Schizosaccharomyces pombe: one gene and its partner. Changing the gene in region 2 together with the main gene of any one other region gives a genetic interaction. Each region holds a gene or a part of one and is shown on either strand. Other genes may lie near its edges.

Region 1 (12,034 bases), on a different chromosome or scaffold from region 2:
GCTTCCTTATCTATATTTACAAATGTGTACGCTATACAACCATTAAACGGTTCTCAATAATTATAATAAAGTGTTGTTAGAGAATAATGTCGAGTGCACAAGTTTCAAAAATTCACTCCTCTGATATACTAATAAAAAAGTCTAGCGCTGGTTAGCTGAAGAATCAAGTACCTTTTATGGAACGTAAAGAGCGACGTGTACTCGTTGTGAGCATACATTACTAATAGAATAGTTCGTTAATATATATTCAAACCAGAAAAACAATGTAAGTTATAGTACTACAGATAAACAGGCTTTTTAGTTTTTATTGACTCAACATACACAGATATACCTGTCTATTGTTGGCTTAAATCCAACTTCTTTAAAAGACTTATTGCAGCAGTAGGGAAAAAGAATTGTGTAACGCTTATATCATGCAGTATTCATTGTTTTATTATAAAGCTAAAAAAGAAAGAAAGATAGATCAATACACTTATGCGAATGCAAAAAAGTCATTTTATGAAAGACACAGTGTTTGAATTATATTGATTTACAAAGTAATGAGCAATTTGTCTTGCCAAGATGAACCAATTCGCGATATTACAGAACTCTATAGACTTTTTGAATGCCGAAATAGGAAGTTATACTGGATTAGATCAAAGAAGAATTATTAGCAGCCAACCCTTCAAAGCACCCGTCGTGGTCCAAGCTATAGATAGATTCAGTAAGACAAGCGAACGTAAATTCGTAAAGTAAAAGGATTACACATTTTTGTATACAAAGTAAACCGACTGTAAATATTCAATGTTTTGCAGTCAAACGCAACTTTATAGACAAACAGAATTCAAAGTCTTCCTTATACTGTAATTGCACATTGATATCCAATTATTCAACATTTCCAACATATCGGGCACAGATGATAAAAGACTTATCGAAATTGTCACCGTACAAAATACGAGTGCGACAAACATCCAGATGCCCCCAAAACAAAAAGATTTGTACAACCTCCAGACTTCATGCAAGCACACCATACTTTCCAAATGATAAAACAATAGTACGCTGCAAAACATTTACAGAAGAGAACCATGTCACATAAATGTTAAATTTTACCATCATCAGTACACCATTGGAGAAATACCATCATCGAAAAGAGTTTTAGAGATTTACAAACAATAAACACAACACACTGGCAAAGCAATGATGATCAAAGTTGAAAAAAAATTGAATATGAGACAAAATGAAATGCAAAAAAATATAAAAAAAAGTTGATACTAATGAAAACGACGACCAAAAATATCAAAAAAAAGATACGTCATGTCAAAATTGTGATGAATAAAAGTAAGTGGTGATTAGATGAATGAAATAAAGAAAAAAATTTGTAATTTAAAGATAGGGCTAAAGAGAGAGAAAAGCAAATTTATTTTAAACCCTACCAGCTATTCATCATACCTCTAGGATACCACAATTAAAGAAACAAGGCAATAGCAGAAACAACACCAACAGCAACCAATGCATTGATGCCAGTCTTCAAAGCAGGGGAAGCATCAGAAGAGGCGGAGCTAGAAACAGAAGCAGAGGCCGATGAAGCAGATGCAGAGAGAGCGGAGCTAGCAGAGCTGACAACGCTGGATACACTGGAAGTGGCAGAGCTGGCAGAGCTAGAGTCGTCAGTGCTAGCAGTCTTGGCGTTAGAAACAATAGCACCGCTACTAGAAGAACTGGCTGGAGTGGTAGAGGTAATAAAGCTAGAAGAAGAGAATTTGGAAGAAGACTTGGAAGAGCTAGGAGAAGCACTAGACTTGGAGCTAGAGCTGGAAGAAGAGCTGGACTTGGAGCTAGAGCTGGAAGAAGAGCTAGACTTGGAGCTGGAGCTGGAGGAAGAGCTAGACTTGGAGCTGGAGCTGGACTTGGAAGAAGAGCTAGAGGGAGAGGAGCTAGAGGAAGAGGAAGAAGAGGAGGGAGTAGAGGAGGAGGAAGTGATAAAGTAAGAGGAAGAAGTACGAGTACCAATCATAGAGGGAGCGATCGAGGTAGAAGAAATGGTACCACTGTAGCTAAGGCTAGAAGTGGAGATAGTACAAGTAGAGCAAGCTTGCAAAGTAAAGTATTGAGAATAAGTCTCACCACCGTCAAAGCTAAGACCAAGCAAGTAATCATCAGCAGCCTCGTAGTAAGTAGCAATGTTCCAGAGATAAGTACCGGTGTTGTCAATGTCAGAAGCAATGGTCTCAATAGGAGTAAGTGCAGAGTTACCACCGCGGTACAAAGTCAAAGTGACAGTGCTAGAAGTCAAATTGCTCCAAGAAACAGTGTTTACACCACCACCCTCTTGAAGGACGGCATTAGGTCCAGGGGCAGAGAATTCATTGTATGCCAAAGCGCCGGCGACGAGAGTAGATAAAATGAAAGACAACTTCATGATGGATAGATGATATTATGTAAGTATGTGAAAGTTGGAAAAAAAGACAGATAATATGGATGGATGGGATGTAGATAGATAGATGAATGCAATCAATGAGAAATTTTATTACCAAAGAAATGAAAGATAAATAAAGGTGTTAATGAAAAAATCTTCCGTTTTCGAACGAATGAAATTTTGCTAAAGGATCGAACGAAATTAGTGATCGGTGAATATATATAAAGACAGATAAAGGAGCTTCAAGTCCAACGACGGAAATTAAACTCACAAGTAAAAATATCAAAAATGAATACTCGTAGTTGGGTCTGAGTAGAAATTTGCTGCGGCATCCTTTCCTTTTATATTTGAAAAACCCCTCAAGTAACGAATGGTCATGTGACACGGATTTAGCGTCGTGAGTGGGTCAGGGAGGTGGCTTTCTTGCACCTGAGCCACCTCGCAACGTAAGTAACGAGTCCGCTAAGGTAACGATGAGAACGCGTTGTCAGGGTAACTAACTGGGAACCGGGTAAACCCGTATACACTCCATCACTTAATGTAAATAAAGATTCGCTCAGATGTAAACAAAGATTCATTCAAATGTAAACAAATCTCAGACATTATGGGAAAAGGAAGGGAAACAAGTGAGAGAAGACGATGGAATATTTTGGTGATGTATCACTCCATTCAATTTTAAAATTAGAGAAAGCAAGAAGAAATTGGTCATTTGTTTGCAAAAATCACGAAATTAAATTATGACAAAACAATCGCAACCATCCTGGCTAGCTCAGCGAACAACATAGTGAATTGGAGGGATAAGGTTTTAAGGTGTATAATGGTGTGTAACGTACTGTGCTATACACAGCCCGTTCTGTGGTATACCAGCAATTCTATTCTCTAACACATCACTTCAATTCCGGTTTACGTAACTGATCTTTTCCAGCAATATTCATTGCTGGACTAGAAACACCAATGAGCGTGGCGTTATCAAGCTACGGAACTCTACTTCTCTGTTGCTAAACTATCGACATGATATACTACCATTTACTAGAATACTAATAAATTCCTTTTGCTAATAACGAAGTATAAGACAGGATTGTAAGTAATATTAGAATTTTTACCGCATACTGCTAAACCAGTTTATATGTAAGCTACGCAGTTTGGTATCTGATTTAAGGATACGTAGAACTGCGGTGAGCTTTCCTTGTGATCTATTATATTACAATACACAGGTTGTATAAGTAGCAACTGAGTATAGGTATTGTATTAACTGGGTTATAATGTTACCTATCACTAATATAGCTCATAACTGAACTGAGGAACGAGGTTCAGCAGTAGCTCTATTTATAGTATTCAGATAATATTGATCTTAATAGATTATCATTAAGATCAATCTCCATATCGTATCATACATGGTACGATATATAATTAGAACATGTGACATATAGTGATACTCAACGTAGTGTATTATAGCGTAGTGTAGTATTGCTGACATTGCCCTCCCCAAGATTTTCTATGTAAATCTGAGGATAAGTCATATGTTCTCAGATATTTAGATTATTGTTTTTAATATAATCATTGACAATTGCTTTGTCCGCTTGTAGCGCTGTAGCTAATGTAGTCCATCCTGACATAATAGTACTCGGATTTAGATTCGAAATGTACTTGACATTTAAGTAGAGTACTTGTTCTCTGTTTTTATGTTCTAGGATATGAAGAATTGTTCCAATATCAGACTCATCAATGGTAGCGTAATTGAGTTCTGAATTATGTCGATACTTTTCTAGGTGAGAAACATGAAAAGTAGATGAAAACATGTGCTTGATTGAATCTGGAAGATCCAATTCATAGTTGTTTGGACCCGACTTCTGTAACACATAGAACGGTCCTGCAAAACTAGGTGCTAATTTATTGGATTTATGAAGAAAACCTGTTTTCGTTCTTTTGACCATAACTAGGTCTCCAGGTTGAAATTCTTCAATTTCTTGTATTTTCATATCGAAATACTTTTTCATCTTTATGTTGTTTGTATTCAAGTGTTCTTTAACTGTTTGAAATACTTGGATCGTTTCCTGAGAGTTTTCGTCAGTTTTGTCACTAAAGCTAGGTAACTCTAAAGGTGATAAAGCTGGTGAATAGCGATGTACTATCTCAAAAGGTGTCATTTGAGTTGCTGAATGTATCGCATTGTTGTAAGATTGTTGCACTAGGGATATATGATCTACCCATGTATTCGGATGTGTGCTACATACACATCTTAGTAATTTCTCCACAGTTTGGTTTGTACGCTCAGTTTGTCCATCAGTTTGTGGTCTGTATGGTAACGAAAATTTCATAACGAAATTATATTTATGTGCGAAATCTTTCCACGTTTGGGAAGTAAAAATATGATCATTATCTGCAATGATTTCTTTTGGATTGCCGAAATAAGCAATAACTCGTTGATCAAACATTCGAGCTGTTTGCTCTGCTGTAATGGATTTCGTACAAGGTACTAAGATTGCCATTTTTGAAAATCGGTCAACTACCACGAAAAGTGCATTATAACCAGATGATTCTGGTAAAGCTGTAATAAAATCCATTGATAAAGATTCCCAAGGTCTTTCTGATGGGGGAATTGGTTGTAAAGGTCCATAAGGTTTATGATTCCTAGATTTGTTTATTTGACATGTATGGCAGTTCTGTACATATTCTTGTATTTGTTTTCTTATTCCTTTCCACGTAAATCTACGTAATATAATGTTTGTAAGAAGTTCAATGCCTGGATGAATCAATTTACCTTCTTCATGATACTTTTTAATAATTGTCCTAGTCAGCTGAGTATCATTAGGTAATAAGATTTGGTCTTTACTGTTAATTAGTAAGCCATCTTTGAGTTGGATATTCTCTTCCACTCGTTTGTCTTCATTGTTTAGTAAATTCAACAATTTTGTATCATTCGTATATTCTGTAACCACTTGGTTTTTAAAATCATCGGTTATCGAGATTTGATTAACAAAGTTGATACTATTGTCTTCTGAATCTTTTGGAATTGGTTCTGTTTCGTCAACAATTCTGGATAAGGCATCAGCTATGTGATTTGCTGATCCAGGTCTGTAGTTAATTTCAAAGTTGAAGTCTTGTAAAAATAATTGCCAACGAGCTAAACGTTTGTTTTCAGGCTCGGATTCGTTAGTAATGCGACCAATTAAGTTTCGATGGTCTGTTAAAATTTTGAAAGGTTCGATAGTGGATTCTAAATAGTGTCTCCAATGTTTGAGAGACTTAATGATTGCAAGCATTTCTTTGTCCGATACGCTATAATTTAATTGTGCTTTAGACATCTTTGCTGAATAGTATCCAACAGGATAGTATTTATCATCATCATGTTTTTGAGACAATACGGCTCCTACAGCGACATCTGAAGCATCAGTTTCCAGTAGAATCTTTTTACTGAAATCAAAGTGTCGTAGCACCGGAGAGAAACTAAACATTGTTTAATGTTTTCTATCGCTTGGGTTTGTGTTGGTGTCCATTTCCAGCGTACATCCTTTTTCAAAAGATTATTGAGTGGATGTGTTAATTGTGATGTCTTTGGAATGAATTTCCTAAGATAATTGACAGAACCTAGAAATTGTCGTAATTCTTTACGATTCTTAGGTTGCTTCCATTGTAAGACTTTGTCTATATTTTCTTGACAAGGCGTAAATCCTTTTTCCGAAATGTGATACCCTATAAATTTTACTTGTGATTGGTGAAATTCACATTTTGCTTGATTGATAATTAAGTTCGCATTTTTCAATTTCTGTAGAACGTCTTTAACATGTTTTACATGTTCAGATTCCGATTTTGAATGAATTAAAATATCATCCATATAACATACTACATGTGATTCTTTGGCTTCACCAAGTATTGTATTGATAAAGTATTGAAAATGTGCTGGAGCTGTAGATATGCCATAAGGCATTACTAGATATTCAAAAACTCCACGAGGACAGCGAAAAGCAAGTTTATGTTCATCTCCTTTTCTTACTCGTATCAAGTGATAGGCACTTTTGAGGTCAAGTTTAGTAAAAATTGTAGAACCTTGTATTTTAGCAAGTAATTGTTCAATAAGTGGTAACGGATATATATTGGGTTTGACATACTTATTTAAAGGTTTGTAGTCAACCACCATTCTCAAGGTGCCTTCCTTTTTCGGAACGAACATTACTGGACAGGCGTTAATGGCTTTAGATTCTCGTATAATTCCACTTTTTAATCCTTGATTAATTTCATCATTCATAGCTTGCATTTTTCCCGGTGGTAGCGGGTAATTTCTGATAGGTAATCTGTAGTTTTCTTGAGTTAGTTCAACTTCAAATTCTAACCCTTTTATTGGCTTTGGTAGCTTTTCCGTATTGGTTTCTGCAGTAATGTCTTTGAATTCTTTATAGATATCTGGTAACTCAGGTTCCTTGACAATATTTGAAACTTTGTTCATTTGAGAGAGCGTGTGTTTACTGCTAGATATTTCAATGTTATTGTCATATAATGTTGTGAAGGAGATAGCAGCTGGATGCGAAAATTTCTTTACAACCAAGAATTCTGTTTTGATTGATATTCCATTTAGACTTATGTTAAGTTTTATTGTTTTGCGATTAATCTTATTTGGATAAACTCCACCATATATCACACTTTTTGACCAGGGTCTGGTAGGCAGTTTATGTGCTCGAACAGTTTCTTCTGTTATAATATTTGCTTGAGCGCCCGTATCGATTAGACAGGGTATTGAGCACTTGAAGTCTGGAAGTTCAGCTTGTAATACCATTTCGTAACGTTTCCTAGTATGATTTAGGAATTTGTTAGATGAGTATTCTATTCTCGAAACATTTGTCTTCCTCAGGTTTCTGCTATTAGTGGTGTTATTTTTCTTTGAAAGGGACTCTTTTCCTAGATTTTTATTTTGCAGTTGAAAACGCTTGTGAATTTTACCATACGAAGCTGTTCTTTTGTCCTCTAAAAAGTCATAAATTTCACTGATTTCTGATTTCCAGTAATTTCTTTCCTTTAATTTCCTTAAGGAATATGGCAGCATCCATAATATAAACAAGCGAGTATGGAAATCATCAACATTTGCTTTTGACATGAGTTTCCTTATAAATTGAACTTTGTCCAATTGATTTCTAAAACCTTCAAATGTTTTAGTTAAACGATCACCTTTGTTGGATCCTTGTACTTTCCCTGTTTGTCTGAGTAATTCTTGCCATGTAAGACTTCCATTCTCAGAAAACATGCGTTCAGCGAATTGTTGCTCTAATTCTTCTAGGTGATTCAATGTATACTGTCTTTTAGTATGCTCATTTGGGAATAATGAAGGGTATTCAGTAAAGTGTTGATCAAGTTTTGAAATGTAACTTTCAACATCCTTATTAGGATCGAATTTCCCTATCTCTGGTACATGCTTCGATAATATTTTTGCAAAAAGGTTTATTAAATGTTCGTCTGATGTTTGAATTCCATCCAAATTCTCTGGTCTCCATCGTTTTGCTCTTGCTTTCATATAACGATAATTTGCGTAGGACATTGTATATGTTTCCCTTTGGGAGATTTCAAAAGGGATAACAGTCCTTCCAAAGTTCTTTCTCCTTTGAACCCAGAAGGAGAGAAATATATATATTTATGATATATATTTATTCAATAATTCCTTTTTCCTAAAAGGAGTTAATTGTAGATCACAAGAGTTCAGTTATTGTAAGCTACGCAGTTTGGTATCTGATTTAAGGATACGTAGAACTGCGGTGAGCTTTCCTTGTGATCTATTATATTACAATACACAGGTTGTATAAGTAGCAACTGAGTATAGGTATTGTATTAACTGGGTTATAATGTTACCTATCACTAATATAGCTCATAACTGAACTGAGGAACGAGGTTCAGCAGTAGCTCTATTTATAGTATTCAGATAATATTGATCTTAATAGATTATCATTAAGATCAATCTCCATATCGTATCATACATGGTACGATATATAATTAGAACATGTGACATATAGTGATACTCAACGTAGTGTATTATAGCGTAGTGTAGTATTGCTGACATTATAGTCCTTCTATTCTCTTTGGTTTACTAATCCTTAAAGCGTATACAGATCGTATGGCTGTTATGGTAATATATACAACGAAAATGAACGTAGCAGCGTTGGCGAAAGCTACGCAAACTTGCCAAGCGCTTCGTTATAGGATCAAATAAATTGGTTTATGAATTTCAGAGGATGTGTTGAGTGTAAGGTAAAGAAAGCCTTAGACGGCTAAGAGTTACATAAGTTATTAAAGCAATTTTTTAGACTCATGTGATGATACAAACAGTAACCTTGGAATCTCTTACACAAGCTAGATTCAACCTCAATGTAAAAGTTAATTTTTGAGATTTGTTTAACTAATGCTAAATCGTTAAGAATAATCAGCGTTTTTTAAGGAATGTAATTGTTACTAAAGTTGTTTTTTAATTTCCTCGGTTTTTTCTTTCTTAATCCACTCATATCTCTAGATTTTATTTACTTTTTTACATTTATATATGGATATACATATATAAACAATCCGCTGATGTTTGCATTGCATTGCATGCTTACTCATATGAAAATGATTAATCACGTAGCTGTCGAGGTTTCGTTAAAAGCTCTAAACTATTTCTTACTTCTTTTCTGTTTTTTTTTTGATATTTTCCTTACTTTTATTGTTCTATTCAAAATAAAAAGGCAGATCAAAAAATAAAATATAAAGATATTATACAATAATTGGCTAATCTGTTGGATTGATGAAACAGCGAAAAGACGAGGATCGAGTGTAAATAAAAAAAAAAAAAAGAAAAAAGGAAGCTGTTAAGATCATAAAAATTCAGCATTGGATTAGGCGAAAACAATACAAAAACCCAGTGTAACAAGTTTCCTATAAAACAAAGTGCAATCTGCCTAATTCTTAATTTTTTTGAGAGTTTCACAGTTCGTTTGATTAAATACCTTTTTTTTTTGGTTTCAACATTTGTTATAAAACTCAATTGAGATAAAATTTCAATTTGAATTGACTGTGTCGCCTATTCAAGATTTGTATACCGTAATAAAACATAGATAATGAACAATCTATTATTGCAGCTCAAATTCTGAAATCATAATAGCGTATATAAAGTTAACAAAAATGAACAGCTAGTAACTTTAATTGCGCGTACCTGATTTAATGTACTGCGTATAAGAAGAAATTGAAGTTTGACTTGTCAATAATTGACTTTATATCAACCAGTCATGAATTGAGTAATGTAGCATCTGCAAGTTTTGTTAATATACTTCCATGAGATATTCTCCACCAGCGTCTGTATTGCCAGTTTAATCTATTTTTTTAACCATCTTTTTTTTCTTTTTATTTATTTAACAAATTATTTATAACACTGTTCAGCGAAAAATATTTTCGGTGGGTAAATATTTGAATGTCATAGTGTGAACTATTATCCTGAAAGGTGCTACAGCATATGAAGTACTACTAAATGCATTAAATCGAGGTAAAAATATTTACATATAAAGGAAAAATTGACATTGCTAATGTGGATAGACGCAAATACTTAAAGATGAAAATTCAAAGCTTTCAACATATGGAAATAGTATCACCTATAACGAGAAAGGATATAAATCTTTTATGAATTTCCTATAGGTACAAGGTTATCTGTTATTTCGCAATTAATCCAAAATTTAACATTGTGTTTCATTATTGATCTGAACTCGTTCATTCAAACACGGGTGGGATTCATTCTAAAGACCAGAAAATCTTACTCAAAAATGTAAAAATATGTAAAATTGAGGGTTCCAAATTTTGAAACTTTCTCCATCTTCAAAATATGTCTTCTATGCACACTGACATTGCTTTGCGTCAAGAAGTATGTCGTTCGTATGAAAAATGACAATTTGAAATTTATTCATCTGTTTTTTTTTAAGCGAGTTGCTTTTAATAGCCGTTATGAAGTCTCGACGGTTTTGATCATATTGCAATGACTTTTGATCAAAAGACCAGTCTGTTTAAATACATTGTGCTGGCTAATGCACTTGGCAAATAAACCCACAAAGACAGAATGAAAAGCTAATTAAGGTTAAAAAATTAAAATTACTGTTTTAAATATGCTAACCTTACAGAAAGAATCTTATTTACGTCTGTTTAAAAGTTGTTCTTCCTCTCACTACAACAGCTTGCTCTTTTTACGTATAATCAAAATCAATTATCTCTTAAACTTCAGTCGCAAATATAATATTATAGTACTCTTTTTCCTTTCGCTTCAACGCCAATGCGGTTGATTCATGTAGTATACACAGACTGACTCGCACATAACACGTTTCCATCCAACTCGATTGGAAAGAATTCTTTTTAGTAAAAACTTGAATTTGTAACTTTTCAATTGTAAAGCGTGATATTCGGACAAGTGCATACCCCTTATTTATACGCTTGGCTGACTGCCTCTAATGTAATGAATCTGTCAAACATACTTCCCACACTTGTTAGTACCACTTTTCCAATAAACACCGAGTTTTCTCTCTTAGGCTTGGTAAAGTGGTAATAAAGGCTTAATATTAAATATTAGTTTTATATAGCTAAGGAATAAACATCCAGCTCGGTTTCCCTGCTTAATATTACTAATATCCGTGTTTGTATCTGGCGTTTGGAGTCCGCCTGATTTCCACTATTTTTTACCTTTCGTATCGATTTCTTTCCTTCCTCTTTTTGAAAAGTTTCGAATTTTTTATGTCTGCTGTTCAAATAAGATAATAACTCCATCAGTGTAACATTGAATGTGATACAGTACGTTCTTTGTTTGAAAGAATAGTAAGGATTTTTTATTTGATCGATACGAAGTGTTAATACGAAACAAAGGGATCGTAAATTGTATATTTTCTTAATAATCCTTTTAAAAGTGTTTGGATTGGATAGTATCGCTCAATAGACGAGCCTATTCTTTGTTTTTAGATTACCCTTGTTTACGTGTGTCCTCGAAGTGGTTTTTTTACTTTCGGACAGGACTCATCTTGGTGCTGTACATATTTAAAATTGGTCCTTTCGTTTTTTTTTTCTTTCTTCATTCTCCTTTCTTATTTTCTCTTACGGAACTTAAGTTATCGCTTCATGGTTGTTATTGCTAACAAGGGTGCGCTTTGGGCTTACTATTGCAAAAGATTGTTAAATTCAGTTACATATATGATGTATCCATTAATTAGGAAACGCACCATGAAAAAGCTTTTATTAATCGTTGGTTTACTTCTTGCCTGTAGCACCGTAATGAGACGCATTCCCCTTTTCCATGAAAGTTTCCATTTGCCCTCACTAGATCCTCGTGCTTCAACCACTACGTCCCAGAAATTTCAAGAATACAGGAGCGATTTTTTAGAAAAACTAGAGACTGCCGAACCTCCAGAAGATGTTATCATGTTTACCGCTTATGGATTAGGTGTTCATACTCATAACCTTTTTATGCTTGCTTGTGATATGGCTAAAACATCCGACTCCCAAATTCGTTTCCTTTTGTTAACAGACGGAACAATTCTACCAGAAGCTCTGTACGATTATAATCGTGAAACTGTTTCGACATGTCCTTTGAGTTTTCTTTCCTATAGTACAGGTGTAGAACGTCTGTCGAAAGAATTAATTTTAAAGGACCTGCTTTCT
Region 2 (11,984 bases):
TACTAAGATTGCCATTTTTGAAAATCGGTCAACTACCACGAAAAGTGCATTATAACCAGATGATTCTGGTAAAGCTGTAATAAAATCCATTGATAAAGATTCCCAAGGTCTTTCTGATGGGGGAATTGGTTGTAAAGGTCCATAAGGTTTATGATTCCTAGATTTGTTTATTTGACATGTATGGCAGTTCTGTACATATTCTTGTATTTGTTTTCTTATTCCTTTCCACGTAAATCTACGTAATATAATGTTTGTAAGAAGTTCAATGCCTGGATGAATCAATTTACCTTCTTCATGATACTTTTTAATAATTGTCCTAGTCAGCTGAGTATCATTAGGTAATAAGATTTGGTCTTTACTGTTAATTAGTAAGCCATCTTTGAGTTGGATATTCTCTTCCACTCGTTTGTCTTCATTGTTTAGTAAATTCAACAATTTTGTATCATTCGTATATTCTGTAACCACTTGGTTTTTAAAATCATCGGTTATCGAGATTTGATTAACAAAGTTGATACTATTGTCTTCTGAATCTTTTGGAATTGGTTCTGTTTCGTCAACAATTCTGGATAAGGCATCAGCTATGTGATTTGCTGATCCAGGTCTGTAGTTAATTTCAAAGTTGAAGTCTTGTAAAAATAATTGCCAACGAGCTAAACGTTTGTTTTCAGGCTCGGATTCGTTAGTAATGCGACCAATTAAGTTTCGATGGTCTGTTAAAATTTTGAAAGGTTCGATAGTGGATTCTAAATAGTGTCTCCAATGTTTGAGAGACTTAATGATTGCAAGCATTTCTTTGTCCGATACGCTATAATTTAATTGTGCTTTAGACATCTTTGCTGAATAGTATCCAACAGGATAGTATTTATCATCATCATGTTTTTGAGACAATACGGCTCCTACAGCGACATCTGAAGCATCAGTTTCCAGTAGAATCTTTTTACTGAAATCAAAGTGTCGTAGCACCGGAGGAGAAACTAAACATTGTTTAATGTTTTCTATCGCTTGGGTTTGTGTTGGTGTCCATTTCCAGCGTACATCCTTTTTCAAAAGATTATTGAGTGGATGTGTTAATTGTGATGTCTTTGGAATGAATTTCCTAAGATAATTGACAGAACCTAGAAATTGTCGTAATTCTTTACGATTCTTAGGTTGCTTCCATTGTAAGACTTTGTCTATATTTTCTTGACAAGGCGTAAATCCTTTTTCCGAAATGTGATACCCTATAAATTTTACTTGTGATTGGTGAAATTCACATTTTGCTTGATTGATAATTAAGTTCGCATTTTTCAATTTCTGTAGAACGTCTTTAACATGTTTTACATGTTCAGATTCCGATTTTGAATGAATTAAAATATCATCCATATAACATACTACATGTGATTCTTTGGCTTCACCAAGTATTGTATTGATAAAGTATTGAAAATGTGCTGGAGCTGTAGATATGCCATAAGGCATTACTAGATATTCAAAAACTCCACGAGGACAGCGAAAAGCAAGTTTATGTTCATCTCCTTTTCTTACTCGTATCAAGTGATAGGCACTTTTGAGGTCAAGTTTAGTAAAAATTGTAGAACCTTGTATTTTAGCAAGTAATTGTTCAATAAGTGGTAACGGATATATATTGGGTTTGACATACTTATTTAAAGGTTTGTAGTCAACCACCATTCTCAAGGTGCCTTCCTTTTTCGGAACGAACATTACTGGACAGGCGTTAATGGCTTTAGATTCTCGTATAATTCCACTTTTTAATCCTTGATTAATTTCATCATTCATAGCTTGCATTTTTCCCGGTGGTAGCGGGTAATTTCTGATAGGTAATCTGTAGTTTTCTTGAGTTAGTTCAACTTCAAATTCTAACCCTTTTATTGGCTTTGGTAGCTTTTCCGTATTGGTTTCTGCAGTAATGTCTTTGAATTCTTTATAGATATCTGGTAACTCAGGTTCCTTGACAATATTTGAAACTTTGTTCATTTGAGAGAGCGTGTGTTTACTGCTAGATATTTCAATGTTATTGTCATATAATGTTGTGAAGGAGATAGCAGCTGGATGCGAAAATTTCTTTACAACCAAGAATTCTGTTTTGATTGATATTCCATTTAGACTTATGTTAAGTTTTATTGTTTTGCGATTAATCTTATTTGGATAAACTCCACCATATATCACACTTTTTGACCAGGGTCTGGTAGGCAGTTTATGTGCTCGAACAGTTTCTTCTGTTATAATATTTGCTTGAGCGCCCGTATCGATTAGACAGGGTATTGAGCACTTGAAGTCTGGAAGTTCAGCTTGTAATACCATTTCGTAACGTTTCCTAGTATGATTTAGGAATTTGTTAGATGAGTATTCTATTCTCGAAACATTTGTCTTCCTCAGGTTTCTGCTATTAGTGGTGTTATTTTTCTTTGAAAGGGACTCTTTTCCTAGATTTTTATTTTGCAGTTGAAAACGCTTGTGAGTTTTACCATACGAGGCTGTTCTTTTGTCCTCTAAAAAGTCATAAATTTCACTGATTTCTGATTTCCAGTAATTTCTTTCCTTTAATTTCCTTAAGGAATATGGCAGCATCCATAATATAAACAAGCGAGTATGGAAATCATCAACATTTGCTTTTGACATGAGTTTCCTTATAAATTGAACTTTGTCCAATTGATTTCTAAAACCTTCAAATGTTTTAGTTAAACGATCACCTTTGTTGGATCCTTGTACTTTCCCTGTTTGTCTGAGTAATTCTTGCCATGTAAGACTTCCATTCTCAGAAAACATGCGTTCAGCGAATTGTTGCTCTAATTCTTCTAGGTGATTCAATGTATACTGTCTTTTAGTATGCTCATTTGGGAATAATGAAGGGTATTCAGTAAAGTGTTGATCAAGTTTTGAAATGTAACTTTCAACATCCTTATTAGGATCGAATTTCCCTATCTCTGGTACATGCTTCGATAATATTTTTGCAAAAAGGTTTATTAAATGTTCGTCTGATGTTTGAATTCCATCCAAATTCTCTGGTCTCCATCGTTTTGCTCTTGCTTTCATATAACGATAATTTGCGTAGGACATTGTATATGTTTCCCTTTGGGAGATTTCAAAAGGGATAACAGTCCTTCCAAAGTTCTTTCTCCTTTGAACCCAGAAGGAGAGAAATATATATATTTATGATATATATTTATTCAATAATTCCTTTTTCCTAAAAGGAGTTAATTGTAGATCACAAGAGTTCAGTTATTGTAAGCTACGCAGTTTGGTATCTGATTTAAGGATACGTAGAACTGCGGTGAGTTTTCCTTGTGATCTATTATATTACAATACACAGGTTGTATAAGTAGCAACTGAGTATAGGTATTGTATTAACTGGGTTATAATGTTACCTATCACTAATATAGCTCATAACTGAACTGAGGAACGAGGTTCAGCAGTAGCTCTATTTATAGTATTCAGATAATATTGATCTTAATAGATTATCATTAAGATCAATCTCCATATCGTATCATACATGGTACGATATATAATTAGAACATGTGACATATAGTGATACTCAACGTAGTGTATTATAGCGTAGTGTAGTATTGCTGACAAATATTTCACATTAACGATATATGCTATATTTCGTTAAGCTATGGTCACCACCATAAATTGCCCGTTTTTCTTTTTTACCTCATAAGAAGTGTGAGTTGCAGTTTGATTGATGATACAATTTTTGCTAAGATGTCTCGTAAGTTTTAAACCTTTGAGAATGAAGAAGAAATTCTAAAAATTATTATCCCCCTCTCAGCAGGGAATAGCTGCGTTGAACTATCTCTTTTATACTTGCTTATTGATTTTTAGTATTCTTTTAGCCTTTTTCACATTCTGATATTCATTAAAATTAAAACTATATCTATAATTTGTAATTACTAATGTTACTAGGTGGAAATCAGCGTGATGTTGACCGTGCTCGCAATTTAAAGAAGTCTCAAGCTTCTAAAAAGAAACAAGCCGGAGATCCTACCAAACGTCTTGAAGCGTAAGTGGAATGGAATCAGGATTTTGTTTAAAAACCAATTAGCTAATATTTTAAGTCAAGCTGAAATTATGCGTGCTAAACAACGTGCAGCTGATGAGCGCAAGGCAGCGGAAGCCAACGGTGGCTCAAAAGGAAAAAAATAACTATATTCGAAATTTTGTTAAAGGGCAGTTTATTCCATCCTTTTAAGTGGTGTTTTTCCACAGTACATTGGCTCTTTATTCTGTTATTTTTCTTCAATTTTACCTCTATTTTGATAAAAACAATAAAATCTATATTTCTAAGTAAAGAGTAAATAAACTCGGTAGTCTTGCAATCTATAATAACATCCCATTAAGTTACTTAATCATTTACTCGTAATTTCTTAACTCTCGGTTATGCATATCATACGCCTTATGTCTCATCTTTGCCAATCAAATTATTTTATTACTAACTACCGCGCGCCTTGTATTAAAAATTAAAAAAATCAAATTCAAGATATACTAAATGCAAATATTCGATAGACTAATTATAAAAAAGGCAAAATCAATAACTTTGAAAATAGCCTAAGAGCAACTCATATAAATAATTTAAAGCTCAAATTAAAGAAAAGGAACATCAAACCTTCTCAACACTTTTCTAAGATCATATAGAAGTTAATCTCTTCTAAAGATATATGTTTAATCACACCCGATTATAAAGAAGAAAATAAAACGGCCTGTATTAATAAACATTTCAGTAACCCACATCACCAGAGATAAGCCAGCTCATCTCGCCAAATAAGTATCGGTAACATTCAAATATTAATTTTCTATACTTTCGATAAAAAAAGTAACAAATTGTTCATGACGACACTTACATAGCAAGAGCAGCAACCAAAAGAGATCCCAAAACTAAAGCACCAGCAGTGAAGCCGTTAGAAGCGGCTGAGCTTTCATGGGAGGAAGAGGAAGAGGAAGATGCAGAAGAATCAGAAGAGTATGAAGTGGTGGTAGCAGAACCAGTGGCAGATGTGGCAGATCCACTAGTAGCAGAGACAGTGGAAGACAAATCATAAGAACTAGTAGCAGAAATGGTAGCAACACTACCTTGGCAAGTGAAATCATCACCCTTAATAACACTGTCATCATTGGACCAAGGGCAAGTGAAATTGGTAGCCTTAGTCTCGACAGTGAGAGCACCCTTCACATCACTCAAATCAGGCATATCAATGCTTGAGAAGTTACCGAGAAGAACTAAACCACCACCAATTTCAGAGATGACGGGGAAACCATCAATAGAAGTCAAACCAGTATCGTTAATAACGAAACCACCACCAACAGTGGTAAGGTTAGGGAAGTTGAGGGAAGTAAGCTCAGGAGAGTACAAAACAGCAAAACTTTGTCCGATTTCGGTAAGGTAAGGAACCGAAATGTTATCCAGAGTAGTGTTAGAGAAATACAAGTTACCAGCAGCACTCTTCAAGTTACCAATAAAGACGTTGCTGATACCATCAAAAGTAGCAGTGGTAACGTTAGAAAGTTTACTGAAGTTTACGCTTACACCCTTAGAGTTAGCGGAAATCTGGATATTTTGAGCACTTTCGAGGCCCTCCATGGTGATCTCCTGAATATAACGATTGTTGGTTACTTGGAAAGTAGTGACGGAATCCAAACTGATACCGTCAATAGCTTGAAGTTGAGTGTCATCAATTACGACACTATCAGAATCGGAAAGACCAGCGTTAAATTGAAGCTCCTGTAAGTTTGGTAAAACAGCAAGATTTAGGCTTCCAACCGAAGTGAGCTCAGGGGTAGCAAGGTTGTTCATGCGGATCATGTTGTTAACGTTAAAAGCACCAGAAACGTTTTTCAAAGAAGGGAAGGAAAGAGAGGTCAAATATTGACCATCAGAAACCACAACATCACCTTGAACGGACTCAATTCCATTAACAGTAAGGGTGGTGATGCCAGAGTTACCAGCATCAGAAATGTACAAATCACCATTCAATACAGTACAGCTGTTAAGCTCGTCAAGAGTACCTTGGGCGGAGATATTGTAAGGGCCGCTGGAGCAGTTGGAAGCAGCTTGTACGCGAGCTGCGGCGAAAAGAAGAGTGAGAGCGAATGATTTGAACAACATATTGACTTTAGACTATATAATGTAGAAATATGATTGGAAAAATATAACGAAAGATAGTTTTTAGGATGCAAAAAGGGAATATGAAGGTAAATTTGTTAAATCAAAAGAGAAAGAGGACAAATATGTAAAATGCGTTTATAAGGGGAAACGTAGTAATAATCAAAAAGACAGAGATTGACCACAAAAGATATGCAGAATAGCGGGTATTTATAAAAGGTATATGCTATATATTACGGGTAATATATATGATATGTTTTATAAATGAATGCGTGGGTAATGAATAAAGAAGTAAAAGAGTGTTTAAAACTCAAATGTAGTTCGCTGAGGATGAAGCGAGTTGCGGAAAAGACATCTATATATACCCGGAAAATGCAAAGAATTGTGACTTGTTAGATAAAAAGGGGGACAACGAGGTGCGCAATTTCGTTGCAATGTTTACTGTAAACAATGAGTAATTGTGTATTGCTGGTTGCTAGGCCACAACACCAACGAGGAGCTTGCGACCAAACTTTGAAGACCGTTTATTGGCTAAACTTGTACGTTTACGAGTAATTTGACTCTCGTTAAACACATTGGCATGACAACAAGGCGTTCGACTCTTTACAGATTGAGAATTGTAAACACTCAATGTAAACAATGCTGTATTTTCTGTCAAAACTTCATTTGTATTCCAGCTTTGGTTTTAAGGTTATTCATCGCATAAACATTTAAAGGGAGAGACACAAACCGCAGTGTTTGACCCTTAAAAAGTCACATTCACGGGCTTTTAAACGTGACATCACTTGTTTGTTTTAGTGAAAAATAACAGTCACCAGATCTCTGAAGAGGTAGGATTTTTTTATACTAGAAAAAAGCAGAAAATCATAAATATTATTTGGTATAGAAAATGCTTCTTCCAGCTATGCTAATCTTGTTTATTTTTCGCTCATATGCAACGGTATTTACGTTTCCGTAAATGGTTTCAGACATTTGTTTACTGACAATTACCGTTACCGCAGCAACGATCTGTCCATCTGCAGTGTAAACAGATTTATTTAGTCATGTAAACAAAGTATTTACCGTGCTGTAGAGAAGTAGAGGCGCAGTGGATATGCTTAGCAAGTTGAAGGAGAAAAGATTGCAAAGGTCATACCGGTATTCAACTGATTGACTAGACTGAACTGTACTGTACTTCAGAAGCATTTACCTGTTACTTTTTAACTTCTTGTAGTTTCGATGATTATTTTGGCCTTTGTGTATTTCATCTTTGTGTGACATCCAGTTATTACTTTAAAACTTAAGTAATTTATATTTCCCATTTTTGATGCACTGAGTGAGAAAAAAACTACTTGATTATTCAAATTTGTTCAATATTTTAAGAAATAGCAAACAACAGTCTACAAAATTATTTTGGCAATACAGTTTAATCAGAAATAATGTTGAAAGGCATAAATGATTTTTAAGTTGATTTTATGTTTATTTTTTTTGTGAATAAGCTATATTATCTTCCACTGTCTAGGATGATTTGCTTCAGAAAATTATTTAATCATTGTTGAAGGTTGAACAATTCTAGACTACTGTGCATGATTTAGGAATAGAATATGAATGTGGATATTTTAAATATTGATCTAGAATAAATGCCCTAATTGGAGAATATGTATTGTATTTAGAAGCTAGTACTCCAAGGTAATAAAATGTATGCTGAAACATAAAATGTTTTTTTGCTATACATGTGCACTGTAAGCTAGACTGTTGAATGTATATGAATATTAAGTCAGTAGAATGCTTGCATCATTTATTACACAAAGTTGAAATGATTAACTCCAGAGATTTCGGGTACTTGTTAAAAAGCATCTTAAGGTGATTAGTTCCGTCATGGTTTTTATAAATTCCTTTACCTTCTATCTCGAAGTAATCTTATAGGAGCGATTACACATCAACTCATATTAAAAATTTAACTTTGATTACTGTAACTTGCCTATTTTTTACATTCGTAGTGTAATCATAATTACCGTCCAAATATTCAAGTAAAAAGCGGCGTTGTAGTCTGATGGAGATGCCCGTTATACAAATTGAGTAAAGCACTCATTTAAGACTGTTTTGCTATTTGGAACCTTTTTATTTTTTTTTTATTTTTTTTATTTGTTCTCTTGTGTGACGTGAGTTAGTAGTTAATCGCTGCGATTATAAAAGAAATTGATTTTTAATACACAAAGTATATCTTTAATTTATCTGAGCCGCGCTTTTTTTTATTTATTTAAAATTTCGTATCCTTGCATACAGGCTATATTTATTTACTTATTCAATTTTATTTTGTTTGCTCTTTTGGCATTTGACGGGGATATATATTTTAGAGAATTGAGTATTTTTACAAAAAAAAAAAAGACAAAATTAATGACAGAGCGATGTAAATAAGTAAAAGTACATTAGCATTTTTTCCTCAAATTCAAGATCCGTAGGCTATGATCTCTTCATGTTGCAAAATGTTTGTAGACAGGCTCCAAACTTTTAAAAAACTACTTATTCCAAAACATGCTTGCCTCAACGAAGTATCGCTACCGTTCTCTTTCGTTTTACTAACAAGTTCAATTTGTTTCTTGTTTTTGTATTAGTCGATTTTTAATATGCACAGGCTTGCATAAAGATAGTTAATTATAAATTTCATTTGTTTGATTTTAAGCTTAGCATTTCATTCAGCTCGACTTCAAGCTGACAATCCCCAATGCAAATATCCTTGCGTCTCGTTAGGCAGGTTACATTTCCAATAGTTTGAACGTAGCTTCCGCGTTATTATACTTTGCCAGTTTTAGTGCATTGTATAGCTACACAGTATTTTGGTTTTAAACTTAGCGAGATATCTCAAAACCCCTTGGCATGCTCTTAGCACGGTACTTAGCTGTAGATCCTTTTAAAATTTGCTAACAGATGTAAACTTGAAAACCAGATTTTTCGGCTTAATATATTCCATCTATCATTTAAATCTCTTTGATGATAACTTTCAAAAATTGAAGGAAATCCGATGTTGACGATGAAATCACTGTAGATACGAATGTTTACTCAACGAAATTACCATACAATTTGATGCCGATCATTTTAAAGACATTTTTAGCAAAATATAAGCAGTCAAACTAGTAGAAATTTTTACAAAAAAAAGCCATATACGAGGTTTGTTTAGTACAAATGACTATACGATCGCAATAATATAGTAATCAAATGAGCCACAGGAGGCAGCAGCTGTGTATAATCGGAAATTAAAATCCTAGTAAAGATACACCCGATCTATAGAAATGATATTCTTGTGTTCATTATTTTTCAAGTTTTGTAAACTATTATTAATTTTGCATACTAGCAAAGACCATTTACAACAAATAGTGCAACCTACTTTTGAAAACTTTTGTAATCAGAAGACGAATATGCTGGACTAAAATAAACATTAACTGCATCTTGTTCTACGATTGTTATATTGAGATGGTTTATTTATTAATTGTATGGATAAAGCTTTTTTCAATCAGTCTTGAATTTCAGAGTCAATACAAGTTAAAAATAAATCAATTTTGGAATTAACTTCCCTTGTATATTTCACTTCCAAGGTATTTATATTTGGATGAAATACAATAATAAAAAATAGCTCTATTACTTCAGAAAAATTCGCTGAATGTGTTCAATTTGATATGCTAGAGAAGGTACAATATTATAGATAAATAGGGCTATTTACTAATTTTGGTTGAAACGTTTGTAGGAAACCGTCTTCAGTACTTCGATATTATATACAAAACTTATTCAATAGATGTCTAACGAGCACACATAATACAAATAATATCTAAGAAACTTGTATTGTCATCATGTAACATAGAATTAAAAGTTTACACATTTAAACAAACTGAGTAATTTAATGTAGCTAAATAGATATAGTGCTAAACACTCATGAAACAGCAGATGAATAATCATCCTTCATTTTTTGAGTACGCATTTTGCGATTGAAAGATCCATGATCCATTATTTATTATATTAAATACTTGTGTTTTAGCAAAATTTATTACATTACTCCAAAAATTATCTTATGTTTGAGTATTGCTTAGCGAAGCTGCAATTTTCAACCCCCTTTATCACACCGCTTAAACATCTCATCTTAAAACGAAGTAGCGGCTTTGCTCTATTTTACTCATCACAATGGAAGATGAAATGCAAATAGACAAGAAGGAGGTGGAAATTGAACAAAAACCTCCTCGATTTGAAATTAAAAAGGTTCGTCATTATTTTTATGATCATGTTCTTCATGTGTATCAAATTTGCCATAAAGCAAAGTAAACTGTGAAAATTAATACCCAAAGATATATTTGCTATTTTAAAATAAGCATACACTTAAGTACTAGTTTACTCTCTTTGCTTTTTTTATGAGTTCTTCTGATTCATATTGCTTACCTTCAATTTAGTGGAATGCTGTAGCATTATGGCAATGGGACATTGTTGTAGATAACTGTGCTATCTGCAGAAATCATATTATGGACTTATGTATTGAGTGTCAAGCTAACACCGATTCTGCTGCTGCTCAAGAGTGCACAGTGGCATGGGGAACTTGTAATGTAAGTTTTAATTCGATTTCTTTCGTATTCTTAGCTCAGGACTGTTTTTAACAAATACAAAAGCATGCATTTCACTTTCACTGCATCTCAAGATGGTTAAACACTAGGAATGTTTGTCCTTTGGACAATCGTGAATGGGAGTTCCAACGTTATGGTAGGGTATATTAAGACGAGCCTACTTTACTAACTTTATCTCAGGTCATTAATAACATTTATTAAGTACTTACTTTTTTGTTGGTAAAAATATTTCAATGGAGCAGAGCGTTTTATTAATGAAATGACATGAATCAATTAAAATTTCCTAAAATCATGACTACTTGTGGCTAGTTTAAGTTTCCATGTGACTTTGAATTGTTATTTATATTTATTTACTCCAATTACTCAGATAGTGGACGAATATATCAATTTATTTTATTGCTTGTCAAATAAAATTTCCTACAGACAGTTTTTAACTACACATCATATAAATTAAGACATTATATCACTACTTTGTATACACTTGAAGAATTAGAACATTACTTAAATCATCAAAAGAAATGGCATACTTCTAAAGTGCTATTGTTAAAATTGAATAGGCATACAGACATTATGCTGCATATCGCATGACAGAATGCGAATCATTGCTTTCGAGAAGAATGTCAGTGGTGAGATACAAAAGCTCAGTAGTGCACGGATTTTCTATACTTGCCAATCAATTCACAAATTCAGTTAACTTTTAAATAAGAACAAACAGCTTTATGAAAATTACCATCTGATGTTTAAAACCTTCAGTTTATCAGACTTGGTGTTTTCGTTAATAGTGGGTAGGCATAAAAAGATTCGTGGTACTTTGACTCTTTATTCGCCTAATACTAATGTTTCTGTCGCCTTCGTCACTTCCCACTATAGAGAGACCTACATTCATCTGACTTTTTAAGTGATACTAAAAAGTCGGATACTTTTTATATAAAGACTGTAAAAAGCATCCCTATGTGATTGAATGTGTATATATCCATCTCTTTAAAGGTTTGATAGGGTAGGGTCATTTCAGCATGAAAGACGGTTATAAAATTATTGGGTTTATCTCATCTGGAACTTATGGAAAGGTTTATAAAGCGGTTTCATCTAATTCGAATGATAAACGACTGTTTGCAATTAAAAAGTTCAAAGCTGAGTCAAAGCAAGTAAGCTCGAATGCTCAACAAACCGGCGTTTCTCAAAGTGCTATTCGTGAAATGATGCTGTGTAGAGAAATTCAGCATGAAAATATAGTTAGCTTGGTTCAAGTTTTACTCAAAGATGGCACAATTAGCATGGTTTTTGAATACGCCGAACACGATCTGTTG

What was found.
Region 1: of ecm33 (region 2) and knh4, extra expression of one rescues a mutant of the other (dosage rescue), as found in Schizosaccharomyces pombe (one study listed by BioGRID).

What each region holds. Positions count from the first base shown.
Region 1 is NC_003423.3:1,961,278-1,973,311, reverse strand, and holds knh4 (protein knh4), read right to left. Parts: upstream 2,706-12,034; 5' UTR 2,399-2,705; coding exon 1,445-2,398; 3' UTR 513-1,444; downstream 1-512.
Region 2 is NC_003424.3:1,565,164-1,577,147, forward strand, and holds ecm33 (extracellular leucine-rich repeat domain, receptor L domain-like Ecm33), read right to left. Parts: upstream 6,427-11,984; 5' UTR 6,098-6,426; coding exon 4,832-6,097; 3' UTR 4,450-4,831; downstream 1-4,449. Other genes in the region: Tf2-2 (retrotransposable element/transposon Tf2-type), read right to left, coding at 1-3,054; SPOM_SPAC1705.02 (uncharacterized protein), read left to right, coding at 3,700-3,706, 3,901-3,997, 4,053-4,140; SCF complex, Cul4-RING and CLRC ubiquitin ligase ligase E3 subunit Rbx1, read left to right, coding at 10,247-10,321, 10,510-10,659, 10,723-10,813, 10,858-10,865; mediator complex cyclin-dependent protein kinase subunit Srb10, read left to right, coding at 11,691-11,984.